3 linked regions of the Coturnix japonica genome follow. The protein of the gene in region 3 purifies or fractionates together with the protein of the main gene of each other region. This does not show direct contact. Links are inferred from orthologs where the notes say so. Each region holds a gene or a part of one and is shown on either strand. Other genes may lie near its edges.

Evidence for each region.
Region 1: the proteins of HDAC4 (region 3) and HIF1A purify together in Homo sapiens (affinity purification with western blotting; 4 studies listed by BioGRID and IntAct, with this or other methods). This does not show direct contact. The link is inferred for Coturnix japonica from reciprocal best matches to the Homo sapiens genes HDAC4 and HIF1A.
Region 2: the proteins of HDAC4 (region 3) and PPP2CA purify together in Homo sapiens (affinity purification with western blotting; 3 studies listed by BioGRID, with this or other methods). This does not show direct contact. The link is inferred for Coturnix japonica from reciprocal best matches to the Homo sapiens genes HDAC4 and PPP2CA.

What each region holds. Positions count from the first base shown.
Region 1 is NC_029520.1:49,069,306-49,075,562, forward strand, and holds part of HIF1A (hypoxia-inducible factor 1-alpha), read right to left. Parts: intron 6,059-6,257; exon of another isoform or gene 5,687-6,058; coding exon 5,466-5,686; intron 5,278-5,465; coding exon 4,997-5,277; intron 4,487-4,996; coding exon 4,364-4,486; intron 4,188-4,363; coding exon 3,796-4,187; intron 2,997-3,795; coding exon 2,888-2,996; intron 240-2,887; coding exon 113-239; intron 1-112.
Region 2 is NC_029528.1:2,266,146-2,271,911, forward strand, and holds the end of PPP2CA (serine/threonine-protein phosphatase 2A catalytic subunit alpha isoform), read right to left. Parts: intron 5,766-5,766; coding exon 5,592-5,765; intron 5,406-5,591; coding exon 5,316-5,405; intron 4,883-5,315; coding exon 4,721-4,882; intron 4,285-4,720; coding exon 4,166-4,284; intron 3,560-4,165; coding exon 3,487-3,559; 3' UTR 2,375-3,486; downstream 1-2,374. UniProt on the Homo sapiens protein: Catalytic subunit of protein phosphatase 2A (PP2A), a serine/threonine phosphatase involved in the regulation of a wide variety of enzymes, signal transduction pathways, and cellular events.
Region 3 is NC_029522.1:3,012,377-3,018,633, reverse strand, and holds part of HDAC4 (histone deacetylase 4), read right to left. Parts: intron 5,337-6,257; coding exon 5,220-5,336; intron 5,139-5,219; coding exon 4,940-5,138; intron 1,514-4,939; coding exon 1,284-1,513; intron 1-1,283. UniProt on the Homo sapiens protein: Responsible for the deacetylation of lysine residues on the N-terminal part of the core histones (H2A, H2B, H3 and H4).

The DNA.
Region 1 (6,257 bases), on a different chromosome or scaffold from region 3:
ACTTTCCTCCCAGATTTTTCAGGAATGAGATGAGCTGGGGTATGTTTGCATCAGTTTTCTTTCACAGCCCCTGCCCCCCTCTACATACGTTTTGTTTGTTAAAGATACTAACCAGTTGATAGTAGAATGATTGTCTTTTGCTCCACTCCATTGTGACCGTTTGTTTTACACGCCTTTACACGTTTCCAAGCAAGCGATGCGTTTCCTCCACGGTCACCTGTCTGCTGGAATAAGGATCCCTAGGAGAAAGTAAAACAAAATCATCTTTGTTGAATGGTGCATCTTGCTTAGACTTCTGCACCCCTTTGCCAAAATAGGGATCCCTGTCACTGATGTTGGCTTTATTACAGTTTACAGATGAATTCGTTCAGAATTGAGATCAAATATATTTCCAATAGAGTAGCCATAAAAATTACTTTAAAAAAAAAAAAAAAAATGGGATCAGATTTCCAGAGTTTACCTCCCTTGCACAAAGTAATTACTGAATCCTGGTTATCACCAGCTACCAGGCTCAAGATTAGCACGGACAGGTACCTATACATGCCCATTTGATTACCACTGCTCTCATACAAATAACTATCACATTTTTCCATTGGAGTCTCATGGTTTTCTGCACTGGCATTAATAGTGTAAACAGGAGAGTCAGGAACCTCGCTCAGTGGATTTTATCTACATCTCAGTTGTAAAATCTGCTTGTGCACCAGATGCTGCCACCAAACCCAACTGACCTAAGGCTTAAGGGGAATGCAGTCCAGAGCCGTTCTATTGCAGAACAGCTCCTTAGCATATTGTTTTGATGGCAGCATCCAAGATGTAGAGATCAGAAAGCTCTGGAAAACTCCATATAATTAGAATAAGAAAAGGCCTCGACTGAAACAAAGATGGGATGAAAGGAAAAAACACCATCTTAGTAACAAGGGGTTGAATCTGCAAAATTTTGCCATGTTAGTAATGCTGACTGTTGGGAAAGAAGAAAAAGTACTTAAGAATCCTGCCATTAAGGGACAGCTTTTCAGGTTATTAAACATGCATGCAAGTCAAAAGACAGCTGTGTAACAGGAGTTAAACAACTCAGAAGCTGCATTCATAGCAAGTCACCGGTACTGTTCCTGTACTGGTTTTTGTTCCATTCTACTACTGGGAATGCATTGCAGCCCTCCATATGAAGAAAAATAGCTCACTTTTTTCTGCTTTAACTATTTGTATCACTATTTCCTAATATCACTATAGCACACTTTGTCTTTGCCTAATTCTCTCATCTTCCAGAAAACCTGAAGTTGTATTTTGTCTTCAATTATTTTTGCTCTTTTCAATAATTAATAGTGCTTCTATACAGCCATGGAAGTCATGGCAAGTTTTTGCATAGTCCCAAATCTCTGTGTGATACAAGCCTGGATTTAATATAATTTTTCTTCTGTGTGTCTGCAACGCCTAGTTTGTACACTCAGAAATCCACTCTGGAGAGAGAAACCAGATGACAAAAGTACCTGCTTATAATAATGTCACTAAGACCCCCCACTATGTGGAAAATTCACCTTCTGACCATGCAGAAACTGTCAAAATATTTATAACACTCATCAGGCACAAAAAGAAGGTTTAGCAAAGGGTGAAATACAAACTTGTAAGCTTTAAAAGGGCTCTCAACATGTAAGTTTGTGTTTATTACAATAGTTAATATAGAACTGCTTGTGTTCTGCTACCTTGAAATGCATATCAGCAACACTGTAGCACAGCCATAGCACCACTGCATGAGAAAGGCAACAGAAGGCAATAAAACTTGAAGCAGAGCTGTGAATTCTTAGGAGCTACTGAAAGCAATGGCACAGCATGCATGAAAGTGCAAAGCATTGAGCGAATAAGACTGATAGCATAAGTACGTTTGTTGTTTTGTTGTTGTTTTAAATCTGCTAACCCCATGGCAAAAAAAATAAAGAATGGAGGTATGAATGCTTCCTCAGCTGTCACAGATGAGATGCTAAGACTGCATAGAGTGACTTCTCGCTTGAGTGAACCATTCAAAGGACAGGTAACCCTGCTCTGTAAGACACAATGGATGATTACATCTAGGAGATGGACTGACTGCTAGAGAAACAACATCAAAGGCTACGATGCAGTGGAAAAAAAACCAAGAATTTATTATGTAGAAATTTAAGAGAAGTGGGAATTTGCAATGAAACTGAGAGATGCAAATCATTGCAAAGCCCAGGATTTCAAGCTACTAAAAAAAAAATGCCAGTAAGAATCAAAGATCGTAGAGACAAAATACCCTTACAGAAAGTAACAAGTTGCATGGTGCCAATGAAGGGACAGAAGCCTTAGAATACCTACAGAATTCCTTCTGAATAGCTTAGATGGACAATGATGCAGTGCTCCCAGTCACAAACAACGCATGTGGTAGCAATGCAAGTTTGCTAGATTCTATGAATTCACGTTCTGTAGTTGGGATGGTATTGATATCTGACCAAATTCAAAACAGGAACCTCAGACTCAAAGAGAGATGAAACAATAGGAAGTGTAAGAACACTTTGGTACTCACAAGTATGAAAACTGAGTGTGAAAGTGGAAGTGAAATAAACATGACAATTCTGCCTTACATTTGTGCATATTCTGCTAACAGAGCATGCCTCCTCGCATGTATGTTCACAAATATATTCTATCTAATCAAGAAATCCATTTAGGTACAGAGGGCACTTTGAAACAACCAACAGTAAAAGAACTAAAACAATATTTGCATATATGAGGGAATTTCATGCCCAAACAGTTATTATCGCTGATCCCAAGGTTCCATTGCAAACCAACAGCTAAACTCTGGAGTCTGCACTGAAGCCTCGTGTCAGAAATTGCAAGGTTAAAAGTGAATATTTTAAAACGGTAAAACAAAACTCACAATTCCAACTGCCTGAAAAAGTGAACCATCATGCTCCATTTTTCGTTTTCTCTGAGCATTATGCAAAGCTAGCATCTTTGGATTTAGTTCTTCATCCATTGCAGTAGATCTAAGAAAAATCGATTCAGGCTGTTAAGACGTTTCTACCGTTCTCGAGCCATTCTTCGTTTGTGGACAAATACAATATGACAGAACTGAATTTAAGAACTATACTAGTATTCTTTAGTAACTGACTAATTTAAACAGTTATTGCCTAGGAACATAGAAAACGTTAGCATTTCATCTTTCTATGAAGCTCTGAATGAGTTTTAGCCAAAAAAAGAAAGTCTGTTAAAAACAAACCAAAGCATAAAGTTCAGTAATTCATTTCCTACACAAAGGAGGGAAGATTGAGGAAAAGTCTTCTGAATATTTGTGTACAGAGTTTCTGCGTTAAAGGTCTGATGTTCTGATACTGTAGAATTTGGTCGTCATAAATACATGCTACGTATGCCATAGTCCACCATCATGAATTATAGCCAATTTTAAAAGCAGTACATGTAGCACAGACTGTGGATGCCTCTCAGCTCAATGAAGTGACAAGAAAAGCATCAGCAATACCATGTAGGTAGAGCCTGCTGCAGTCTTTTTAAATGGCTACACATCATACAAGAGCGGAACAAAATTATGAACACAGCTGGCATGTAGTAGCTGCATATTGCATGAGATGTTTATGTAAAGGCTACTGCAAAAAAGCTGCTGAGAAATTAGAGTAGCTTACTATATTAAAAAATGGTCTGGATTTAAATATTAATGTCTACTTTGAAGTAGAACGTTGAAGATAATGTACAATAGTTGCAGTATTTCAAAGTCTATCATGTCTAATTTCTTGAATAAATAGTAGGGCTTGAGCTTCACTTTTAAAATACCTTTTGTTCAGCGTGACTGTTATCAAACTGGGTGCTCCTGGACAAGATTTTTCTGTCTGTTCCAATGTTCCTTTTCCTGCTCTGATTGGAGATGCGGTTCGACTCCTGTTCCCACTGTAAGGTGATGCTGGGGCACTACTCGTGTCATTTATTACATGGACAGGAGACGATGGAACAATTAGTGCCTTCACATCATCCACACGTTCTGCCACTGGTTTTATTTCATCAGCAGCCGTTGATGGTGTCTGAGTCTGCTGAAGTATGGTAATGGTGGCTGCATTTTGAGAGCCAGAACTGCTTTCCAGTGGAGATAGCTGATCAAAGGAGCGCAACTGGAAGTCATCATCCATTGGGATGTAAGGAGCCAACATCTCCAAGTCTAAATCAGTCTCCTGGAGAACATAAAAGGTTAAAACTTACATCAGAACATCTCAGCTCATGGCTCTGCAATTTATCTTTAATAAAGCGTTATGTAAAAGAAGAATTAGGTTCCTGGAAGCATTTAACAAAATGAGAAGCATGTCGAGAGCACTAAGATGATACAGAATTTCAAGTTCATGTACATTACCTGAGTGGAGAATGGATTTTTTGCTTCTGTATCTATTGCAAAGAGCTTCTCCACTAATTCCAGTTTGAATTCATTAGCCATGTCATTATCCACATCAAAGCAATAGTCATTGGGACTACTGGGCTGTGAAAACATTTTGAGTGCAGTTTTAACTTTCTATCATTACGTTATTTTGCATTGTATCTACAGATCTGAAATATGTGTGAATGCCAAAACGAATTGCAATCTATGGCTGCACAGAACTAAAATGGGAAAGGAAAACATACACGTTTGCTTACCCATTTGGGAAGCACTTGATTAGTTAGAACACAGAAGTAGCCTGTGCAGTACTTTACTGTAACTAATTTCCATTTACAGAAGCCAACTCTGAATCATCCTTTTCTAGGAAGACCAATCTGCAGCTCTTCTTTTCTTTCACATGTACTATTCTACATATTTGCGAGACTCGCTTCCATGAAAAGTTAATTCTCCCTGTGAAAGTGCATTTTTCCTTAGAGTACGAGCATAACTAAGTCACAAGCTAGAAATAATTTTAAATTCATGCCTTGGGTGCATCTTTGACTAGATTTGTTCTACAAGCCTCAACACAGCACATACATTTTAATGACAGCGTATCCAAATTACGTAACTAACCTCAGGTGAACTTTGGCTGGTACTTGCATCAGAAGGGCTGGTTGGTTGCTCTTGCACCTGAGGCATGGTAAAAGAAAGTTCGAGTGTCTCTGTGTTTGGCTCCAGCTTTGATACAACTTCTCTATTGAGCGCAGGATCAGCATTGCTACGAAGTGGCTTTGTAGTTTCAGAGGCAGGTAGTGGGGACATTGCCATATTTATATTCTGCAATTTCTCACTGGATGAGGGGAGCATTACATCGTTATACAAAGGAACTTCATCACATTGTTGTTCATCAGACTCTATAAAAATTAAAAGAGACCATCAACCTAAGTAACAAATACTGAGCGTGTCTACGGACCTCATTAAATTTTAAACAGTGGCTGAGAGATCACTAGGCAAGTGAAAGTGGGAAGTTATTTTCCAAAGTTTACTGCAAAATACCAAACTTTACTAATTAGCATGCTCTCCAATTTAAACACACACCCACCATTGCTGCTGAAATCTAGGGAGATAATCGTGTCTCCAGCAGCTGGAGCCAGCACAGTTAAAGCATCTGGTTCCTGCTTAAGTTTTTCAAAAAGGCTGTTGGTATCATCCAGGTCATCTTTGCTGAATATTTTGGTCATTTTCATTTCAGGAGACTCCACTGGTTTCAGCATACACTCCGTTTGTCCAAGGGAAAATATCAAGTCCTTCTGAACAATTCCACTGCCAGACAGAAAGGAAGATGATTAAAAACCAGCTAGAATTCAGCCCTCACGATTTTCTAAGTTGCCATGAAAGCATCAAGAAAGTAAGAAAAAGAAGTAAAACAAACTTCGGGGCTTTCCTTAAAAGTCTTCTACTTTTTTTAAATGAAGGTACTATATCTTGATGGATTGATACTGGTACGTTCACTAAAGCTGTGAAAAACTAACTTAGGACTATTCCACTGTCGCAGAAAAATACTTCAAGTCTGCCTTAAGTTTAAGGTTTCAGTAGAAAGAATTCAAAGGAAGAAAAAGATAAATGGATACCTCTGACTCCATCACTAGGAATTACCAGTGAGTATAACTGTTCTAGACTGTGGACAAAAATTAGGTAAGTGCCTACAATGCCCAAATTCTGTTTGCCTGCAGAGATCTCCCCACTGATATCTCTACAAAGTGATTGTCTTTTTTAATCCTAATCCTACGACTAGCAGCATTCTAAGTAAAAAGCTAATCAGTAGGAAAATCAGATAGCACTGCAGCATATTGAATAGGGACCGGATTCTTAGCAAGTCAAAGATGAATCTGAC
Region 2 (5,766 bases), on a different chromosome or scaffold from region 3:
CGACCTTTGATAGTAACCAGTCTGCAGCACAATCAGATGAAACGTCAAAGCTTTCATCAGCAATAGGTTCACTCACCACCTCTTCTCCAAGGCAGAAGCATCATCCAGGCAGACAAGGAACAAGGTACCCAGTTCTGTCCATCTTCACCTGCCTGTGCATCAAGAAACCTTAGAGGTATTGTCAGACCTAAGACAGCAGAGCAGCAATACTCAGCTTGTATGCAGCTGTGAGCAGCTGGAAACTATCTGGCTTCAGCCTGAGCCTACAAGCACAAGTGTCCATTTACCTTGGAGAAAACAGGCACCTGTACACAGCAGCTCACATCAACCACCGCAGCTGAGGCAGCAGGGCTCTGCGGGATGCAATGCAGGACAGCTGAGCACCGGGGATGCTAAGGGACAGGCAGCAGGTGGGGGCAGGCAAAGGAGTAAGAGAATGAAGGAATGAAAACCTGCAGATCTGTATGTCCTAAAGCCTTCCATCTTCTCCTTTTGAAAAGGAAATTACCAAAGGCTTTCCTGTGTATGGGTGTGTGTACTGATACTTGGATTCTGACTTAATGATTCCTTAGTTCAAAGAACAGATCTCAACAAATGAGAGTAGTTTACTTCAAGCTGATATACAAACCCAGGCAACAAACATCACTGAATGATAAAAATACAGGACTTTGAGCTACTCCTTAATCACCTTTCCAGGGGATCTACCAGTCTCTGCAGTGCAGAAGGAAAGGTCAGTACTGATCTGTGAAACAGACTGAAATCCTGATTATGCAGTAGCATCACAGTTTGAAGTGAAGCTTACATTGAGGGAGGTGATCCCCCTCTACTCTGCCCTGGTGAGGTCTCATCTGGAGTGCTGCGTCCAGTTCTGGGCTCCCCAGTACAAAAAAGACAGGGACCTCCTGGAAAGAGTCCAGCAGAGGGTCACAGAGATGGGGAAGGGCCTGGAGCATCTCCCCGGTGAAGAAAGGCTGAGTGAACTGGGTCAGTTTAGCCTTGAGAAAAGAAGGCTAAGAGGGGACCTGGTCCAGGTCTATAAATATCTGAGGTGAGGGGGGGGGCAAAGTGGTGGCCAGGCTCTTTTCAGCAATGTGTGGAGACAGGACAAGGGGAAACGTCCAGAAACTGGAGCATAGGAAGTTCTGCACGAATGTGTGCAAGAACATCTTTACAGTGAGGGTGACGGAGCCCTGGAACAGGCTGCCCAAGGGGTTGGGGAGTCTCCTTCTCTGGAGATATTCAAGACCCACCTGGAGACCAAGCTGTGTGATGTGGTGTAGGGAACCTGCTTTGGTAGGGGGGTTGGACTCGATCATCTCTGGAGGTCCCTTCCAACCTCTACCATTCTGTGACTTCTATTTTAAGTTTTCTCTCTTCTCTTGAATCTCACCTCCTAGCTGGCTGGCAAAGAGCATCACTAATCCCCATCAGAACAACCATTTCTTGTTCACAATGCGATATTCTTAAACACAAAAGCCTACAAATGGCCAGTCACAGTGTAACTGTGGAGTGCAAAATCTGGAGTGACTGTCAACGTACTCTGTTGACTTCACTAACAACTGCTGGTATTTGCATACAGAAATGGAACAAATGAACTGCTTCCCCCTGCAGCAGGGAATGCATCGTGCCAAAGGCAGTAGGGCAAATCATTGATAGAACTGTATCAATGAAGGCACAAAGTTCTATCTGCAGAAGGACAAGAGGCAAATGAGAGGAAAGGGAACTTAATGAACTACTATCTAAAGCAAAGGAGCTTCTTTTTGTTAGTGATCAAAAGCTCCCAACATATGAGATATAAACAACAACAAAAGGAACACCTCCACGTGAGCATTAGCTTTAGAATGCTCTTCTCCCTGTAAAAGGTCACGCTTCAGCAGGACTGAGCTTTCCAGAAACAGTTTGGAGCTCCACCTGAAGGTAGAATTTTTGCTAAAGAAAAAAGTAACCCCTCAAACCTTCCAGAAAAGGTGTGAATTAATGAGTTGTGAAGTGTCTTGCAAGTCTGACAATTACGCAGCCCTTCAAGAGAAAACCTCAGAAAAGCAAGGAAAAAAGTGTGTGAAGGCAGACCTGCACACATTTCTGTGTATAAGAAAGAACACCCCTCTGTTTTGTCACACTGAGCCCAAAAGCCAGAGTCTTTTAAACAGTCTGAATAGCATTGGGGCCTCCTTTCGAACAGCCAACTAAGCTCTTCTAAGATGTGTCCAGTAAGAAGTTGCAAGCAGGAGCCTTAATAATGCAGAACATTTGAATGTGTTTTGAACAAAATCGTCACCAGATTCAGATTAGGGGAAAGAAAAAGCTTTTAAACAGAAGTTAACACAAATCACACTTAGCTTTGTAACGGAAGCCTGGGCAATACACATAGTACTGAATTTCAAGTTATTCCTTTAATATTTAGAAAACTGGTTTTATTCTTAGTTTTTCAGATTTTTTCTGAAGTATTAGCACCTACAATGGAAATAACTCAGATTTACACTTGAAAAACAGCCATGCTCGATCAGTTAATTTGTATTTTTCTACTTCTGAACATTTCACAGAGCACCAAGAGGGGAAAAAAAAAAAGAGAGCAACATTTCAGTGGTGAGTGAGCTCTGTTCTCAGCTACATCACACCGCAGGACCGGGCATCTCACCAGGGCAGAATTCAGAAGGTCGCAGTTTTCCAGCACATTCCAATCACCTCATTTTTGTTTTTTCCATTATTTCCGGTGGAAATTTCTCTCCAGGTTTATAAAACCTACCCAGCTGTGCATTCGTTTATTAAACCAGAGCTGACCTGAGATGCAATTAGAATTTGACATTTTTCCATACTTAGTTCACAAGTTTATTATGAAAAACACTGCAGCTCCGTCCTGCAGTAACATTGTTTTACAGAAAAAAAACAGTTCTGTTCAAAGTAACTCACTAAGCTCCGACAATTACAAGGGACAAAATGGCTGGGCAAAGAGTGGAAAAGGGAACTGAGTGCAGACAAAAAAAATCAATACAATTAAATTAAACGGTATTCCCTGAAAACAAAAACAAACAAACAAGTTTCAGAACAAATATGAAGCCTTGGTACTTATTTTAAAAATGTTCTTTAAGCTTCAATGATTGTTTGCTGCTATCCTTATCTACAGTCATGCTGAATAAAGCTATAGCTAAATGGAAAGTTAAATGTATTCACGAGGTGTTAATGTCTACATCTTATTATTTGCAGTCTCTCAGAGAAAGCAAAAGTAACTACAAATAGCGCTATGCCAGAAACTGGTTTCTTGACCAACAATGTTGCTTCAGCATGCAATGAACTGGTTCATTCTAAAGTGGTCACAGTTGTTGACGACAAGAGGCTTTGTATTTGAATATGGCACGTCTTTTGGTCCATGTGAAAACAAGTTTGAATGTTAAATATTTTCTGACACTTTGGAGTTACTGTTGCTCTTCCCATTTTCTTTAGGTCAACATATGGTTCATGGCAATACTGTACAGGTCTATAATCTCTTTACAGGAAGTAATCCGGGGTGCGACGAGTCACATGCGGTTCACCTCTGCGCGGCGCTGGATCGAACTGCAAACTGAGAAGCACACGTATTAATGGCAGCATCCCATTCACACGCAGGTATTTTTTCAGAAGTATTTTAAACTTATCTATGGATTATTTCTATGCACTTGGAAGAAACAAATCTTGGCTTTACGACTCAAACCGGTCAGATATCAGTATACATCTAGACGCTAGGAGCCTCCAGTAATTATCAAAGAGTTAATTTACACAGTACTTTATACAATTCCTCATTTATTAGTAAAACTGCTACAGCAGCTCCAGAAGTCAACATCCTAACAAGACTGTCAGTCTCTTGCCCTAGACTTAAAGGTGGGCATAATTACCTCAGGTAATCCAACTTAAAATGAAATACTTCTGTAGTATTTCATTAAACTCTGACTTTATTGTATGTAATGAGCTTAATGACAGCTGTCCAGATGTCAGCAACAACAGTTTCCAATATCTGACTGTAAAGCTTCTTACATATGAGTAGCCCAACCATTCCACTGTCAGGTCACCTCCTGAAGGTGTACAGGGTAAAAACCCTACCTCAAAACCACAATTAGTTACTGTAGCAAAATACCACTTATTAGATCTTAAAATCATGTGCAACACAGACCTCATTTCTAAGCGTACTTACAAGGAGTATTTTAAAGTATCATCAAGTTCCATAATTGCAGCCTGGTTGCCACAACGGTAGCAATAGTTTGGAGCACTGAAAATTGTTACTACATTCCGATCATGGCACCAGTTGTACCCCTGGAGAGGAAAATAAACTATTTAGGAAAACCACATTCATTTGTTGCACCCCGTAACTTACTACTAAACTACATAGGCTTTGCAGTTTTAAGTAACACTAAGCTCTGTGTCTATTTCTCTTCTCAAATGAAAAGGGAAAATAGGAATTGCATACCATAGCATATAACATCATCCTATAGTAAGCATTAGATAAGCACATTTAAAAAATAGCAAGACTTCTCTCTCCACTACTTTGTTAAAAATTAAAATACCAATTCTGAGTTACACGATGTTTTAAAGGTGTGGGTTCTGGTTTTGATGATTAGAGGTTAACTTCTAGGAACAACCAAGAAGAAAACCACACACAAACCTTGTAAAGAGGCCAAGTGCACATCTCGGGCACCACAACAACTGACTACACTATAAACAGCTTAAACACACAGCCTTTGCTGCTTACCTCCATTACCAACTGATGGGCTCTTGAAACCAGCGTAAGGCCATTAGCATGGTTAAAGGTTTCTGAAATATCCTGTCCAAATGTATAACCTGCACCTCGAGGAGAAATTCCCCAGCCACCACGATCATCTGGATCCGACCACAACAGATCACACATTGGACCCTGTAAGAGATTTGGAAAGTGTTTCATAAATTGAAGCAAAAAAAAAAAAAAAGGCAAGAACAAAAAACATAACCTACACACTCACGTTGTCCCTTCACACCTCAGCATCTCTTTAAGGCTTGGCAAAATAACGTAAGAAAAACCCCACCTGCCACCTACAATAGTTAGTGTAGTTAAAGCTTGAAATACTAACAAGGAAGTTAATTTTAATGAAAGAAAAATTCACAGAAGTAGCTCTCACCTCTGAGATATTAAAGCAACTTCAGGCAAGAATGCGTCCCTTAATTTTCCTCCAGAAGACTAGCAGGGCAAGACAGGCATTCTCAAATTGCTACATCATTTTGAACCTGATTTTCTGCCTTTGTATACATAAAATACCCAACACATGCTGAATAATGAATCCCACTGCGAGTTAAGACAATTTTCAGTATACCTCATGGGGAACTTCCTGCAAGCGATCGAGTGCTCTGATGTGATCCAGCGTATCTATTGATGGAGAGAGGCCACCATGTAGACAGAAAATCTGAAAGAGATGATGATGGATGAAATTCCAATTGTTTGCATTTATTGGTACAGAAAATGACATCTGTTTAGTATTAACAATTCAGAAAACTTTTGAGATTGCTTTCAAGCTGAGCACTCACTGAATACAGCATTAACAGCTCCCTTCACAACCAGCAACATTTAACTTTATCCAAGTTCAACCTACCTGGCCATCCACCAAGGCGGTTAGAGGAAGGTAATCAAAAAGATCTGTGAAGTACTTCCAAACATTTGCATTTCCATATTTTCTTAAACACTCGTCATAGAAACCATATACTTGTGTGATCTGCCTGCTTTCATGGTTCCCTCGAAGAATTGTGATACGTTCACGGTAACGGACC
Region 3 (6,257 bases):
GTCAGCACTTGGATGCTGTCCCACGGGATAAATTTGCCACACACATACAGAGCGAGCACCGAAATGCTTTCAACTCATTGCTCATATAAATCAAACACACGGAAACTGCCCGTGTGATGGGTTTTAACTACGCTCCCCCTGTAGATGTGCTGCATCCCCCAGGCTAACAAAGCTGAAATTCAGGCTTCTCGAACGGCACGCTCTGTAGCTTCTGGGAGGTCTGAGTGAAAGGCTGACTGAGCCGGGGAGGTACGTCACAACGAGCCTATGGACACTTCCAAGTGCTGGCAATGGAAATCCTGGAAAACTAAAACAAACAAACCACTGAACCGAAATGGACTTCCTAACAAAGAAACCCTACCTAGCGCCCCGAGCCTTAACGTTTGCTGCACGGAGCATGCCAGGAGGGAGGGAAGGAAAACGTCTCCAGCGACAGCAGCTCCCAGCAGCCCGGTGTGCAGGGCCAAGCCGAGCCCAGGGCTGGCACAGGCAGTGCACAATGGCCACCATCCAGAAGTACACCATTGACGTCAGCAGCTTGTGTAACTATCCTGCCCTCAACTCCAGTCCGTAAACAGCACTTTGGGGGGCAGGGGGACTTTCTTTAAATCGTCGCTTTCTCCTCACTGGAAACTTGTTTTCTGCTATTTCTTTTTTTTTTTTTCACCCAGCTCTCAGTAGTTCCGTCTTCTCATACGACAGAACAGTGAAAATATATGGAGAAGTCTCCACCATAAATTAAACTGCAGCAGCCCCAGAAGGTATATGTCCACTGTCTGACTTGTCCTCCTGAGCCATAACCCTACCTGTGGGCTTGTTTTGTAAAGAAAGCCATGACTTACAACACCAACAAAAGAGCCAGAAAAAATATCACACTGCTTATGAAGTATTTCCCCTTTTCCTTGAAGCTTTTTACCACTATATAAGTCAATCAACGGACTTTGTCTTCTGACAATATCTCAGTTGGGGCCAGCTGGCACAGCTCTGGTCATTGGATCTCACCCTTAGAAAGCTAGCTTTACCTTCTGATGGGCTGAAACACCAACACAGACTTTACCTTTTTACATCCATGCCTGAGCAATCACCCTAGAGCAGCTTTGTTTGAGCTTTAGCCATAACATTGGGATGCCACGATATCACGAAAAAGAGGCTCAAGGATGCAGGCCAATTGGTTACGGAGTCAGACACCACATACGTTACAACACAAGAAACCATCAAAGCACTGGCTTCTGCTGGAGTCGATGCCATATGAGGAAGAGAGCCTTTAAAAGTGTTGTGCCTACCTTGTTGATGTGCAGTTGCTGTTGCTGGAATTGCTGTTTGTGTTTCTCCAAGAACTGCTGGTGCTGCTGCTGGATCACTAACTGCTGGAGGGCCTGGGCGTTCTGGGGAAGGGGAGCAGACTGCGTGCGCCCCAGTGGGCGATGCTGCCGGAGTTTGTGTATTGAAGGGGAGACCCGTTCTCCACCAACCAGAGACTGTGCGTGGAGGGGCAGTCCTGAAAGATACCAGTCTGAAGATAATATGGAGGAAAAAACAGCAGAGAAGAAAAAAAAGGAAGAAGAAAGGAAGGGAGAAAACGGCTGTTGAGTAACGCTGATGGTGACAACGATTTATAACGTTAAAACCAGCCACCTCACCACTTACAGCTGCGGTATCCTTAAAAGAGAACAGATAACAATTAATGACCACTGGATGGAATAACACTTTTAAATTCTCTGCTTGTCTGCTTTACTTAGCAACCCTAGACGATATTTCATCCTTAAATTCAGCAATATTTTATGGACCCTTCCGTCACTCAGTGGATGACATCAATTAGATGCACAGTGGTGGCTTTGAGGAGAAGCTGAAGTCTAATGACTTGCCTTGATGCAGCAAATAATTCCAGCTTCATTTCGAGGACAACATCAGCCCTTGCTGCTGCCCTGCAGCACGCAGCAGCTCTACCTTACAGGATGTTCTCAGACGTGCTGAAGGACGACGGCTGATGATGGAGCTGGTTCTCTTACTAGATCATGAAGGGAAGCCCTCGGCTGTGCTATAACTGCTCTGTAGAAATGACTAAGGATGAAGACATTCATGCGATAAACTGCTGACCATGTTTGCTTTGGAAACACATGAACGCACTTCAGGAATTTGAGAGCCATAAGTTTTCATTATTTCTTTAGAAACAAGGTAATTTAGAGGATAAAGCATTAAAAAGATTTCCACCACTGTCCTGCATATTCACGCTAATAACTTCACTAAAACACAAGGCTACTCTGGGATGTCATGGGTTACTCATTCACCCCTGGGCAATTTGGATGTCTCCTGGATGACTACCATGTGAAACCTACCCGAGCTCTTCTAAGGGTATATCTGCAAGAACTGTCTTTTTTTCAGCTGTTCTTGGTAAGCCAGTTCTTGCTCTGCTCTCTTATACCTTTACGTGCTTCTTAGAAAGCTGGGATGTGAAAACACATGCAACACAAAGCCAAACCCAAGGGTGGAGTAGCTCAGGGTAAGCCTTTGCAAGCTACACCCTGGGACTGAAAGTCATAACTAGAGTGAATGATCGCCTCCCCAGTGTGGATAAGGCTGCACATACTTCTGGGGAAGAAAGTACCTCATTGTACAGAACAGTAAAAACTGTTCAAATAGTAACATGCAAAAAAATGAGACTTGGTTCTAGGCTTGGAGGGGTAGAAAAAAAAGAGCAAAGCTGCACAAAAGTCTGCAGCCAGCTGAATGAAGCAGTTCAGAAACACCTGCAAGCTCCTGGCCCAGGACAATGCCTCCTTGTCCCGTTAATTTACAGAACTGCCCTACATGGAGGAAACCAATTCGTTTAGAGGCCTCTTTTGTTGGGCCAGTTAACCCTTTGCTCTTCTGAAGAGAATCATTGAAAAGAATATCTTATTTTATAACTATGTGTGTGCGTATATGCAAAGTCCAAGTTAGACGGTTGAGGAAGGGATCCTACATGTCTCTAGAGGACATCTTGGAAGACTACTTGTCTCCAAGTGAATGACCAGAATCCTCCTTGCAAAGGTATCCAAGCAAGGCACACTGGTCCTGCTTGGCATATACATGTCAACCAGATCCAGAGTAATCTGGAGCAGGAGCAATGCCAGATCTATGTAGCTCTGCTCTAGTGGGGGATGCAATTGCACTGCCTAGATTCTATTACCACTTTCTACTCAAGGTGAACCACTTATCACGCTCCAGATAAAATCCAGAAATTAGATTTGCAAAATGAGCACCGAACTCATAAAATCAGCACACCACCGACCAGCAGGGACTCTTTGCTTCCCAAATCCCCACGTCTAACTGCATGGAGCCAGCATGCTGCGTGCTGGATTAATTTTGCAGTAGTCAGGAGACTATCTCCACAGCTGAAGGCTACCAACAGAATACTAATAACTCCACTATGCTTCTGAGGAAGTTGTAAGTACTAACTGTATTCTGGCAGACAGTCCATTTAGGGCTTTCGAGACCATGTGTTAGCTTGCTCTGTTTCAGTTGCTGCATCTGGAGTGTGTGCTTCTTGCTGTTGCTCTGCTGTATAGTGACTATTTCTCCTCAGTGTCAGTTTGTTACAAGTTGTACTTGCTCTAAAAACACCACACACTGCAGGTGGACCAGAAGGAATACACATAATAGACTGTAAACAGATGGAAGCTTTGAGAGAGGTGGGATAGGAAACAGAACAGCACTCCCTAAGAGCTCTTTAATGCAAATACCTGCACAAAAGGAGAAAAGTTTTGGTGTTACAGTGAGAGAAAAAGTCTTTTGCAATGACTTTTCATCAGCAGCCCCCAGACAAAGAACAACTGGTGAAGAGACCTGCCATGATGCTGGGCACAGCATCACGTCACAACAACAGTGACAGAATGCAAAGGAAAACTACATCAAGGCTCAGGGAATCTCTGAGAGTGCTGGTTAAACATCGCACTTCTGTGCCTCAGATTCTCCACATGTACGTGCTTATCACAACCCCACGTACATTCCTGGAATTCAAACTGAAAACCAGACACGATCCAAACGCAGTGCTGTAATGTTTCAGCAATCAACATCTCTCAGTAATTTCAGAGAATAGAACAGAATCTTTTGTCTTGGAATGGACCTTTATAGCACACCCAGTCCCAACCCCTGCTATGGGCAGGGACATCTTCAAGCAGACCAGGCTGCCCAAAGCCCCATCCAGCCTGGCCTTAAGCACTGCCATAGATGGGGCAGCCACAGCTTCTTTGGGCAGCCTGTGCTCAAGATATTTTCCGTTAGAAATGGAATGAAAACAATAAAAAATCAACAGGTCTGCAACTTAAGCAGAACATCCTTTGAGTCCCGGTACTACACACTGTAAAACAGAAACGCGGCCTGCTAGGAAATATTGCTTTGAATCAATTCTATTTATAGTAATACGCCTTCCCACAGGTACTTAATTCTGAAAACATGACACAGGGAGTGATTCAAAGCAATTAACATGCTGCAAATGTAACATATACAAACAAATACAATCTGGTGGAACACAGTTGGTTTTGCCACATTTTTGCTATTTGTAATAACCATAAAAAGCCAGTATTTTAATCTGTGATTTTCTAAATGCATGCTTCTGTTTTACCTGGAACAGAAACCATCAGTGATCAACAGGAAGGGCAATCACAAGACACAACATTTTTGTTGCCTATTTACAGTGGCCAGAACTCCAAAGATACTCTTTAAATTGTTGCATGCAGAAGAAAAGCGTAAGCCTGAAAGTACACGCTATTTAATTTCATTCTGTCAAAATGACAAGGCATCTTCCTCCTGCCTATGGATGATGTGGCTACTCTAGCTGGAAACTACCCATCATATACATTGGAGAGCCTACAAATGTGTAAGTTAAACCTACGAAACACATTGATAATGTTCAAGGTACTGCATGTCAGGCTTTGCACATTATCTACCATGTGCTCACCTGTGACTAAGGGAGTTTGTGCAGTTGGCTGCTCCAGTAAGACCATGTGCTGCAGAAGAGGGTTGTGTGTGGTTCCCCCATCTCTTTCCAACGCTGTAGTGCTCAAGTAGGGAGTGAGGTGGGTGCCAGGAAATAAAGAGATCCGCTGCTGCAAGGCTGGGATAGCAAGTCTCTCAGCATCCTGCTGCGCGGATCCTCCCTGCAAACACCCAGGTGATGTCAGTGTGGGTTAAAGGAGAAATCAAGCACCAATTCAAAGCCCATGTTCCCCATCACTTACACTGGAAGGGCCGGTGGCAGGCAGTCCTAGTGTGATGTTGGGCAAAGAAGGAGACGTGTAGAGTGGAAGCTGCGTTACGGAGCCTTCGCGATTCACCAGTCGGTGAGCCAGGCTGGTCTGCAAAGAAAAGGAAAACGCTGTCCCAGTGAGACTGCACCACCCATCAGAGAGGGAGGACGCTGCTCAGCGCTTGTGAGGGCCCAGCAGGAGAGTACAGAGCAGGAAACTTCACTTCTGACATTGGGAATACTGAAAGAGGGAGGTAAGCTGTGCTTCAAGACCCAGCCTTACTTCTCTTTCCATAGCGTTTGCCCTTTTAAAGCAAAAACAGATTACCATAACAATAAGAAAGGCATTACTGCAGTGGTTGTTTTCTTTAGCAAATCACAGACAATTTACCCTATTTACCAGCATGCTTTAGCTGAAATCAGACTTCGAAATTTCATCAAAGGGCCTTTTTATGTTGCCATTCCCCGATTTTCAGGCTGAAATGTAAGATTTACTGAATTACCTTGTGGCCATTTAAAGCAGGAGCACTTAAGTAAAAACACCTAATTACAAAATGAGATTGATTTGAAATACTTGGTAGAAAGCCCATTATAAAAATTACATTATTTTAAAGTGCCTGATTTTTCTATTAAGAAAGAAGTGTTCCATTCACTTAAATCACCTTCAGTAAAACTTAAAAAAGCAGCTTAAATAAACAACTTAAATCAAACAGCGCTTAGATTTCAGGAAGATTTGCTATGGAATATCTACTGTTTTAACTCTGTTGCTGCTGTGGATAAGAAAGTGATAATGGTTAATCTAGTATGTATCAATGACACACATTATTCCCATAGCAAAAGAGAACTGGATAATGGATTTGTACATTTCAGACCTAAACAGTTATGTGAGGAAATGGGACTTGGCAGGTTACTTCCTTGATTGCAAGACTCGGCCAACTCTGGGTAACAAAAACCTGTTTTTCCCCTCAAAAGGTGTAACGTGGTAACATCACTACAGCAACCACTGGGGTGAGGGAAAAAAGGGCAGTAA